Macaca mulatta: one gene and its partners. The protein of the gene in region 1 purifies or fractionates together with the protein of each later gene. This does not show direct contact. Links are inferred from orthologs where the notes say so. Each region holds a gene or a part of one and is shown on either strand. Other genes may lie near its edges.

Region 1 (3,668 bases):
ACAAAAGCCAAAAACCCTGACACACAGGCACTCAATGCATGGTAGCTGCTGTGGTTGTCCTCCGGCAAGCAGTGGCAGTTAACCAACTTACCACTAGCTCTGGGAACTAGGGGCCCTTGCTTAGACTTCCTCTGCAGTGGGGATCCTTTCCTTTCCATCTCTGATCCACTTCTACCCACCATAAAGGGAAGATGGAGGGCAGTTCAGCAAAAGCTGCCATGATCAGCCCATGCTGGGGCCCTGCCCAGTGCCATCCACTGCAGCAAAGTGGCCCCACCAGCTGTCAGCTTTCCTTAGCCTTGAGCCTGAGTCTCTTCTCTAATCTTTCTTTGTTCTAGACAAGGGAACCACCGTAGATCCCAGTCACTGGAAAACTCAACTAGGAGGCGACTACAGTCCAGTAGTATAACAGCAGTTGAACTGACTCAGAGATGCTAACAACCCAGTCCTACACTTTAAGTGAGGTTTAGAGCCATCATAAACTCCAGGTCACTAGTCAAGTGTTATTTTTATTCATTCAGAATGAATGCTGATCTGTTGTCCCTTAATTTCCAATTAAGGAAATTCTTCCTCCAGCAGGTAAGAGCAGAGCAAACCTTTGTAGGAGCTAATGACAGGCTGTTTCAGCAACCCCTCACCTCTGCCCCAGCTTCCCAAGGCCCCAATCACTCACTCTGGTTCATGGCTGCCCACAGCAGGGCACAGGGGGCTACATACTTTTCTTTCTCTATCTCCATGGAAAGTCGCTTCATGTCAGTATCCTTGAAGTCGAAAGACAGGCTGTCACCAATGAGGTTGAAGCTTGGTATGTCAGGAGGCAACGGTGCTGGAATTGGGTTCATGGGCTATTAATGAGAAATTTCGGATTAGGAGCTTGGGTCATACAAGAACAGAGGGGCACTACTGTGTTGACAACTGATCCTCCAGCAGCCACAGCGGCGATAGGCACAACTCAGGTCCTATCTCCCAATGCCACTATGAGCCCCTCCACTTCAATCCCTCCACATTTGCCACTGCCAGGTGAACAATACCAAAGACTACAAATCCAGGAAAGTCATCCCTCACCCCTCAAATCTCTAACCGTTCTTCACGCTCAGCTGAATCAAACACAAACTCCCACTCGCTTTTTCATTTAGGAAACTCCCGGGCCCTGTGAGAGGGGCTGGAGATGCAGAAAACAAGACAGCATCCTTGGCTTTGAGCAGCTGAAAGTTGTGTTCAGGAAATAGATGTGTTCACAGATCATCACTGTTAAAAAAGGTAAACACTGTAGCCAGGGAGCGAACAGAGGCTAGAAGAGATGCTGCTTTTGCTGGGATCCAAGACAGTGCCACGAGAAGGTTTGCCAGGTGGGAGGTATGGCAATGGGTGGGGCACTGCCCAGCGAGGGTGCCAGGAGTCTGCCATACAGTATGGAGAGGTGGGGTGGGAGATGGGCACCACCACAAAGGGCTCCACCTGCCCACCAAGGGGCTTGGGATTGGACAATGGAACCGGAGTAGGTCTTGAAGCAGGGGTGGTGTAGTTTTTTTTGGTTTTTGTTTCTGACTTTCATCCCAGAACAAAGGGTCATCTAAAGAGGGCCCCAATCTAGCTCCCTGGCTTCTCCTACTATTTGCCCTACTAAGTCACAGTCAGTATTGTTTATTATCCCCTGGACTACTGCCTTCCCATCTCTGTACCCCTGCCTATCCCATTTCTCCTCCCTATGCTCCATCGCTCTTTCAAGGCCCTTCTCAAACACCATGATCTCTCACCAAAGCCTTTCTAGCCCCTCCCAGCCAGCCGGCAACCCTTTTCTTTACTGTCCCTTAATGCTGTGTTTACAGTTCTCTAATGGTTCTTCTGCAATTCCACCCTGTAAAAGATTTCTTTTTGGCTGTATCTTCTTTCTACTATTTGCAAGTTTCCTGCAAACAATCTGCCTCTTTTTCATCCTTGGATCCCGTACTGAGTCCAGGACACTGTCTGGGAAAGAGCAGAGGCTTGGAACATTCATTTGAGACATTCTCAAGGCCTGAGGCAGACTGTCTGCAGGGGTGCTGAGAGACAGCTCCTGGGGTGCCAGGGATGTCCTGTCTTCTGATCTGGGTGCTGGGTACATAGGTATGTTCAGTTTGTGAAAATTCTTCAAGCTGTACAGTTGTAATCTGGGCACTTCTCTACATGTATGCTATACTTCATAAAAATTTCCAGCAAAAACCAGTACTAGTTGCTGCACCATCAGTGAGAGCATGAACTGGTACAACTTCTTTGAAGAGTATCAAAATTGAAAATTTGACCCCACGGTTCTATTATTAGAATTTATTCTACCAATATATTCACTTGTGTGTGTCAAGATTTGTGTTCAGGGATGTTCAGTGCCATTTTGTTCAAAATTGCAAAAGAAAACAGACTAAATACTCATCCGTGAGGGACTGGTTAAATGAACTGCAATCCATCCGCACAACAAAACATGATTAAAAAGCTGATATGGATGATCTCCTCCAGGATTGACTGCTAAGAGGAGAGAGCAGTTACAGCAGTGTATAAGCTTTGCTCCAGTGTATATTTTAAAAACAACACATAGAGGCTGGGCACAGTGGCTCATGCCTATAATCCCAGCACTTTGGGAAGCTGAGGCAGGCAGATCACTTAAGCTCTGAAGTTTGAGACCAGCTGGGGCAATATGGCAAAACCCTGTCCCTACCAAAAAAAAAAAAAAAAATTAGCTGGGCGTGGTGGCACATGCCTGTGGTCCCAGCTACTCAGGAGACTGGGGCGGGAGGATCGCTTGAGCCTACCAGGCGGAGGTTGCAGTGAGCCGAGATTTTGCCACTGCATTCCAGCCTGGGTGACAGAGTAAATAAAACTCTCTCTCTCTCAAAAAATAATAATAATAATAATAAACAAAATAAAAAATAAAAACAAAACACACATCTCAGGTGTTCAGCCCAGCTGAGTGCTCAGACGACTCCAGTCCCAGCTACCATCTGACTGTGACCACCAGAGAGATCCCCAGCAAGGATCTCTGTCTGGCCCAGTCAACCCAACAAGCCACCAGAGGTATAATAAAGGGTTGTTTCGGCCACACAGTTGGCTTGGGTGGGTTGTTACATAGTAACAGAGAACCAGGATATACGGCAACAGCAAACTGCTTACGTTTTCCCCACCTCAAACCCTGGGCAGCTTGTGGCTCTGGTGCCCTGTGTGCATCTGGGTCATGTATGTGCCTGTACCATGTGCTTGAATGTAAGTATGGGTACGTGTGTGTGTCCGTGCTGTGTGTGTGGATGTGCCATGTACATGAATATATGTATGGCTACATGTGTGTGTCTGTGCTGTGTGTATGGATGTGCCATGTAGATGACTGTGCTGTGTGTGAGTCTGGGCCATGTGTGTGCATCTGTGCCCTCACCCTAACTACCCTATGTTCTCTTCTCTACCTGGCTACTTCCTGCTCCTCCTTCAAGCATCAGTGTAGACACCATATTGAGCCTCTCCTGCCCCTCCAGGCTGGGCTGTGTCCTCCTCCTCTAGGCACCTGTGCACCCTGAGAACACCTGTCAGGACAGAGACTTCCAACTGTGTGGCACTATGTGGACACTGAACAAATACGCAAAAAAAAAAAAAAATAAAATAAAATGCCAAACTGAATGCACAGAAGAAAGGAGGGAAAGAGGTTTCTA
Region 2 (3,668 bases), on another chromosome or scaffold:
AAGGCTGGTGGATGACATGAGGTCAGGGGTTTAAGACCAGCCTGGCCAATATGGTGAAACCCCATCTCTACTAAAAATACAAAAATTAGCTGGGCGTGGTGGCACGTGCCTGTAGTCCCAGCTACTCAGGAGGTTGAGGCAGGAGAATCGCTTGAACCTGGGAGGCGGAAGTTGCAGTGAGCGGAGATTGCGCCACTGCACTCCAGCCTGGGCAACAGAGTGAGACTCCATCTCAAAAAAACAAACAAAAAAAAGCTCGAGGGCCTTCTATATCCAGGTTCCTAACTTACTTTCTCTAGAGGTCAAGGACAATATACCCTGCTGCTGCCGAGGACAGGAGTCCCCTGAGGCTGGATGTGGGCCAGGTGGCAGGGCCTCTGCTAAGACGACAAGTGGAAGGGAGCACGCAGCAAAGGTGGAGCAGAGAGCAATCATCCTTGCCGCCCTGCAAGGGGCCTGCAGCCTAGATCTAACTAGGGGCTCCTGGGGCCTCAGCCCTGGCCTCCAAACCTACAGTCCCCGAGGACGAAGGGAAGCTGACATCCTCAGATGCTGCCCTAGCCTGGACACCTGCACAGGTTTTCTCAGCTCACCTGCTGTGCACGCAGAGCCTTGAGTTCCTGCTCCAGACGAGTCCTCAGACGCAGCTCCAGCTGTTCCCGCTTCTCACAGGCTGCCTGCAGCTGCCCGAGTGCCTGTTGCAGCCGCTCCACTTTCTCCACATAGGCCTGCTTCTTGCGCAGCTCCTCTTCGGCTCGAGCCGCCCGGCCCTGCGCATTGCCCAGAGCCTGCTCCAGCAGCTCGGCACGCCGCCGCTGGTCCTCGATGGCACCGCGCAGCAGTGCCATCTCTCGCTCCAGCTTCTCTTGCTCCTGCTGCTGCTCGTAGCCTGTAGGGAGAGAGAGGCTTGATCAGTGACAGTGACTACATTGGCTGGCGCCATTGCCTCCTGGGCTCTGTGCTGACCACTGGATGAGCACAGTTGCTTCTCATTCTCTCAACAGTAACACGAATAAGGTACCCTTATTAACCCTGTTTCATGGAAGAAGAAACCGAGGCTCAGGTTTAAGTCAGGAGTAAACAACTGGGCTACCCTGCCTTTCTACTGGGACACACTGCCATGGGACAGCCCCAAACACCATCCACTTGTGCCGGGGGCCACCATGTCTAAAACACATCCACAATATCCCTTGAACCTTGTGACGGCTAGAGACTGCTGAGGTAGGAACTGTGATGCCTGTGTACAGATGAGAAAACAGAGGCTCAGGTGGTCTGTGACATGGTCCTCCTTCAAGTGGGAGAATGAAGGAAGAGGGAACAGAACCACCATCTGCTGTCCACACACCAGGCACTTACACATCTTATTCCATGAATCCTCCAGCCCCTCCAGGTAGGATTTGGGATTCCCAACTTATAGCGGAGGAACATAGGAGGTGAATGGTGCTGCCAAATGGAAACTCCAGCTGGCCACACTACAAAGGCCCAGGCTGCCTCTGGCTACGTGGTGAGGCGTTTGTACTTAGAGGCCACCCAGAGCTCTGGGGCTCCTTCTGCAGACCCAGGCCGAGAGGTCCGTTGAGGGCTACATTTCCCTCCATGGTCTGAAAAGATCACTGAGATGCAAGCAACCAGGCTCAGGAAGAAATGCAAAGTCTGCAGCACAATGAAAATGACTATGGCACAAGGATTAGTGTGTAAGGGTCCAGCTATCCTGACTTTTGTATCATTTTGTTAATTACCCAAAGAAACTCTGCTCAGAGGCCCTCTCAGCATGGCCAGGAAAGGCCCAAACCAGACCACAGAGCCCTCCATCTGATGCTCTAGCCTTAAATCCACCTCCCAGGCACCTGCCCCTTGAGAGTCCCAGGCTGCCCCCTGAGGAGTGGGTCAGCTGCCTACCTTGCTGGAGAGCAGGAGGCGGGGCAGGGCTGTGGGCCCCCGCTAGTGAACCTAAAGGCACTGTCTCTAGAACAGCATTCTGATTCAGTGGAATTTTCTGCCAGAGTGGAACTGTTCTATACTGCACCCTCCAATGCAGTGGCTACTAGACACACGTGCTACTGAGGACTGGAAATGTGGCCAGTAAGATGGAAGAACTGAATTTTAAATTTTATTTGTTTTCATTAACTTCAATTCTTGGGCCACATGTAGCTAAGCACCTATGATATAGGACAGTACAAGTTCTGGAACAGAAGAGTGAAGGCTTGAGACCTTGGCATGCGGAAGGGAGGATTCATTTACTCAGGGCCCTGGGGCAGGGCAAGGAGGACACAGAGGCAACTCAGGTTAGCTCTTGGTTCGTTTTGGATTTTTGAAGGCTGAGCCCAGGACGGTATCATTCTGTGGCATGGAGGAAAATAAGGGGAAGTCCAATAATATTGAAACGTATGTGTTCATACTTCGCTGGCTTGAAATCCATTGAGTGGGGTGGAGGAGCAGCCAGGTTTGGACTCAGGCAGGGAGGACCCTCCCCTACTCCACCTGTGCGTTCACAGTTTGCCCAGGGCCTGCATCTCATTTCAGCCTTAGCGTGACTCTGTGGGGAAGGACTGCCTCATCTTATAGCTGGAGAACCTGAGACGCAGGGAGAAGAGAAACATTCTCAAGGGGGTGGAGCTAACAGGCCGGCTTCAGGCCTCAAGGCCAGATCCCCAGGGGGAACGGCTGGCCTAGAGGGGCCAGAAAGGCAGTGCTGGGGGGCTGCGTGGCTTGCCTAGGAGGAAAAGCAGATGGCATTGATGATAATGGCCACACTTTCCTAGTGTTGACTGACCCCAGATAAAAGGGAGGTCAATCAGACACATCTTTCCTGCCTTTGCAATAGCTACTACGGAGCAAGGAAGAGCTGCCTGGGTTTCCCCAACCCTAGGGGAGGGAGGAGGGGCCAGCGGACCCAGCCTTCTGCTTCCAGAGGCTTCCTGCAGCTTTGTCCAATCTCTAAGGCCTTGGTGGGGGCTGGGAGGCTTTGGGCTCTGGCCATCCCCTGCCAACAGGACCCTGATAAAGCCCTGGGCCTGTGGGATCTCGGGAAGGAGAGCTCCTCAGTAAGAATTAAGTGGCCCGGGTGCCGGTGGGAAGAGGACGCCCGGAGGCCAGCGGAGGCGGGCAGGAAGGCAGGCGAGGCGCCGAGGGGACCCGGGATGCGCCCTGGGCAGCGAGCGAGCCCCCACCTCCGCGTTCCAGGCTCCCTTTGTGCTCACCCTCCCTCCTCCCAAAGCCGGGCGAAGGGCGCCAGGCAGCGCGCACGGGAGGGAGCGGCGGGGGGCGGGCCGGGAGCGGAACAGCTCGCGGCTCTGGAATGCCAGGCATCCAGGTCACCCGCGGCTGCGAGATTAATGGCTCCAGCGAGGAGCCAAGAACAGCCCGGCGCTCACTCGCTCCCCGGGGAGCGGAAACGCCTCCCGGCCGGCCCCCCTCTTCTCACCCGCTAGCAAGCTCCCAGAAACCCGCCCCATGGCTTCCTTTCTTTGGCAGAGCCAGGCCCCAAAAGTCCGCCTTCCTCCACAGGCACCCTAATCTGCCTTGCCCTTGCAGCTTCTCCTCCCCAGACTCCTCAGGGAAACCCCAGGGCTGCCCCATCCCCTTTCTCCCTCATTCCCTTTGACTCCTTCCCAGAGACCTTAAGCCGCTGCCACCTCACCCCACCCAGCCAGTAGAGACCAGCCTAC
Region 3 (3,668 bases), on another chromosome or scaffold:
CTTCTTCCAATGTCCTCTCCCCATTATCCCATTCTTCCCTCCCATGCCCCATGGGGTAAAGCAGGCAGACACTGTCCTCCCTTTCTAGACATGGAAGCAGAGGTGGAGCCGTCATACAACTGGTCTAGAGCACAGCCAAGTTCAGAGGTGTGAGGTCTCTAGGCTTTTCCATGACAGCCTTTTGTGTTACAAGGGTCACCTCAACTTATAACAATAATAGATAATTATGATCTGAGTCAACCCATGGCTAAGAGCTACTCCAGTGGTGCAGTCTTTAGAATGTACACAGTGCTTCCACATATCTCACTGAATTTCTATAACTGAAGTATGATTGATTTCCCTCCCCACTTCACAGATGAGTAAACTGAGACCAGGAACTATTCAGGGACATTTCCATGTCCCATGAGTGGCAGAGAAGCTGTCTGATCTTGCTTTTCCAATCATGGCCTGACAGAGGTGTGGGGCCCACCTATGCTCCCCTTCCAGGTCTTCTCTTCCTTCTTTTCCTCGGCCAGCTGGCTGCTGGTAAGAGAGGTCTGGCGAGAGTGTGTCCCAGTAGCTGCTGCTATGGATGGAACGGAGCGGGCAGGACGTAGGCTGGAGGAGTCTGTCTTCCCAGCATCTTTACGAGATCGCTGCTGCAGGACCTTAATCATAGCATCTTTCTCTATGATTTTGGCATGGAGATTTTTAATACTGTAAAACAAAACAAAACAGTCTTCATAAAAAGCCACTTGGCTAGAAAAACTTGAAACATTTATCTCAGGCTGTCCCAAGGACTTTAATTGTAATTTAGGGATAGAGGATGAAGCACAGTACGAGTCTTCAAATGTTGGTAATCTCCAAATTGTTAAGACAGGTCTTTGGTCATAGGTCAAAAGAGTACACCCTTCTCTGGCACCTTGGGAGACTGGGACTTCAGGGAGGTACGGTTAGAATGACTGGCCACATTCCTGGACCGAAGTGGGCTGGGGACCATATTTAGAGGGTCTAGCATTGGCGGCGGGGGCTGGGGGTAGGTAGGGGATAGGGAAGCATAAAAACTCTAAAGCCTCAAACAGGGTGAGCTTTCAACTAAAGTCAATTTCTCTATTTTCTAAGAAAAAAGAACCAAGATGAACAGGTCCTCTGGTAGAAGACGATTTTTCTGGAAGAATGCTGAGTTATTTTCACAACTTTGATAGTAACTCACTGAGCCTGTCTATCAATGGCTCAACTACTCAGCCCTATTTTCACATCTGCAAAATACGAGGCCTAGGGCTCCCAGGGTTCCACAAGCCCTCAGGTAGTGAAGTGGGACAGGCTAATTTTATTATGTCAAAAAGTCTGCTGGAAATTTTGTATAGCCCATCAGAAGAGTGCATTAGCTAAATATGTTCTTTATTTTGGACTGGAATATATAAATTCTGGCTCAAAAACTCTGAACCTTCGGAATATAATGTTTCCCCTTTTCAGCTCATAATGTCACAGACACCAAGAAATAACACAGACATCTAAATTCTTCTGTCACTAGACTCAGCCTGCATCTTAAAACCTGCAGGTGACATGCAATTTCCCCCAGACAACTCTGGCACCGGACCCATTGCTGAGTGGAACCTTTTGCTTCTCTCCATGGCACGGCAGGGGGGAGGAGAGTTTTGGGAGACCTCATGTTCACAGCCTTTCAGAACATGACAGAGAAGCAATCTGTTCTGGAAGGCCTGGAGTGTGAATGCAAACATGGGCTGGCAGGTCCCACGTGCCACACCTAGCCATCCCTTACGTGTATTCCATGTCCTGACACCTTCTGTTGGCCTGCACCACCTCCTCCTCCTCTTGCCAGATGTGGGCCTCCAGAGAGCTCTCTCCGTAGCTGCCATTCCGTGAGTGGTTGATGATTGTGGTGTCCCTGGCAACACAAGGATATGTGTTTGATCACGGGAAACCTTCTTGCTTTGTCTCAATGCAAACAGACACAGAACGGAGAGGCTGGTGTTCATGCTGGAACAGAGATCAGCTCTGCATCTCCCACTGGCCCATGAAGGCCTTCCCTCCCAATTTCCTCAGCTCAGTTATCAATCTCATCTGATGCCCATACAGAGAAAGGTGTAAATGCTTGTGGAGAGGTGACCACAGGGTGCTGTGCTAAAACTCCACAAATTCCTTCACCCACTTTTCCTCTCCTGAATTCTGTCCAATTCTCTTCCTAAACTAGATAGAATTAAGCAGTATCTAAGGAAAACAAAAAAAATTCAAAAATCAAGTCCCCTCTGCCCTGTGACTACATTATGTATTTAACTACATGGCATGTTATGAATATGTAAAACGGGCACCTAGAGATTTAATCTACTAACATATAGACTCTATTATTATTATTATTATTATAATATTTGTTGGTATTTCCATGGTTGTACTTTTTCATGCTTGTCCTATGCCTCACCTTTCCCATCAGAGTTTAGGTTTTATTTCTGTTTATCGCCCATATAGCATAGAATGCCTACTTCAGTATTTTACAGTAAAATGGGGGCTCAGTAAATACTTAAAACTGAGACTGGTCCTCTCAGAGAGTGAGGCTCCAAGCTGAGGTCTTCGTTCATGTTGTATTCTGTCTCACTTCTTGTTTTATGGGCCCTGCCTGGGATGCAGGTCAGGACAAGGTAACAGGCATCCCAGGGCCCAGGGCAGAAAGACGAAGGCAGACACTGTCCTTGACAAGTTCAGGTGAGGTGGGTGCAGTGAGGGCAAGGGCAGACACAAGTAAATTAAGAAGCAGTTTCACTGCAAGCATCTGTCTGACTATAAACAACCAGTCACAGATAACTATTCCTGCCACTGGTTTTGACAATTGCTGCTAACTAACAATGATTAGTAAAAATAAGATCACTGCGTCATCTAAGTGATATATCTCAAGATGAAAGGCACAATAATGGCTCTGACTACATGAGTACCTAATTAGTAAGACATAATGTAGCCAAGTATTTCACATCTTTTTAACTTCATGTTCCAATGTACAATCATACTGAAAAACTTTTTTTTTTTTTTTTTTTTGAGGTGGAGTTTTATTCTTGTTGCCCAGACTAGAGTGCAGTGGCACGATCTCAGCTCACTGCAACCTCCGCCTCCTGAGTTCAAGCGATTCTCCTGTCTCAGTCATCCAAGTAGCTGGGATTACAGACATGCATCACCACATCTGGCTAATTTTGTATTTTTAGTAGAGACGGGGTTTCACCATGTTGGTCAGGCTGGTCTCAAACTCCTGACCTCAGGTGATTCAACTGCCTTGGCTTACCAGAGTGCTGGGATTACAGATGTGAGCCACCGTGACCGGCCTGAAAACTTTAAAGCTTTTTTTTTTTTTTTTTTTTTTAACAGAATAACCCAAAACAGAAAAATTGAGGCCCCTTTAATGACAGCTATCAGCTTCACACAGGGACTGGGTAGGGCATGGTACACATGGTCTCTCATTTAGTTCTCCCAACTTGTGCACGAAGTATTATTATCCTCAATTTCTAGATGAAGAAACCAGGGTTAGGTGACATTGCCAAGAATACTCAGTTAGTGAATAGTGAAAATTGATTCTAACTCAGGTATTTATGACTCCAAAGTCCATGCCCCTAACCATCACTCTATACTCCTGCAAGTTTCGTATGTCTTTAAGAATAAGGTCTCAGCAAAGATGAGTAAAGATA

The links. Proteins that work in one complex are often made in the same cells at the same time.
Region 2: the proteins of NF2 (region 1) and AMOTL2 purify together in Homo sapiens (affinity purification with mass spectrometry; 5 studies listed by BioGRID and IntAct, with this or other methods). This does not show direct contact. The link is inferred for Macaca mulatta from reciprocal best matches to the Homo sapiens genes NF2 and AMOTL2.
Region 3: the proteins of NF2 (region 1) and AMOTL1 purify together in Homo sapiens (affinity purification with mass spectrometry; 6 studies listed by BioGRID and IntAct, counting the BioPlex papers as one, with this or other methods). This does not show direct contact. The link is inferred for Macaca mulatta from reciprocal best matches to the Homo sapiens genes NF2 and AMOTL1.

The regions. Positions count from the first base shown.
Region 1 is NC_133415.1:21,874,708-21,878,375, forward strand, and holds part of NF2 (merlin), read right to left. Parts: intron 846-3,668; coding exon 718-845; intron 1-717. UniProt on the Homo sapiens protein: Probable regulator of the Hippo/SWH (Sav/Wts/Hpo) signaling pathway, a signaling pathway that plays a pivotal role in tumor suppression by restricting proliferation and promoting apoptosis.
Region 2 is NC_133407.1:37,404,950-37,408,617, forward strand, and holds part of AMOTL2 (angiomotin-like protein 2), read right to left. Parts: intron 890-3,668; coding exon 594-889; intron 1-593. UniProt on the Homo sapiens protein: Regulates the translocation of phosphorylated SRC to peripheral cell-matrix adhesion sites. Required for proper architecture of actin filaments.
Region 3 is NC_133419.1:95,656,585-95,660,252, reverse strand, and holds part of AMOTL1 (angiomotin-like protein 1), read right to left. Parts: intron 1,889-3,668; coding exon 1,763-1,888; intron 697-1,762; coding exon 470-696; intron 1-469. UniProt on the Homo sapiens protein: Inhibits the Wnt/beta-catenin signaling pathway, probably by recruiting CTNNB1 to recycling endosomes and hence preventing its translocation to the nucleus.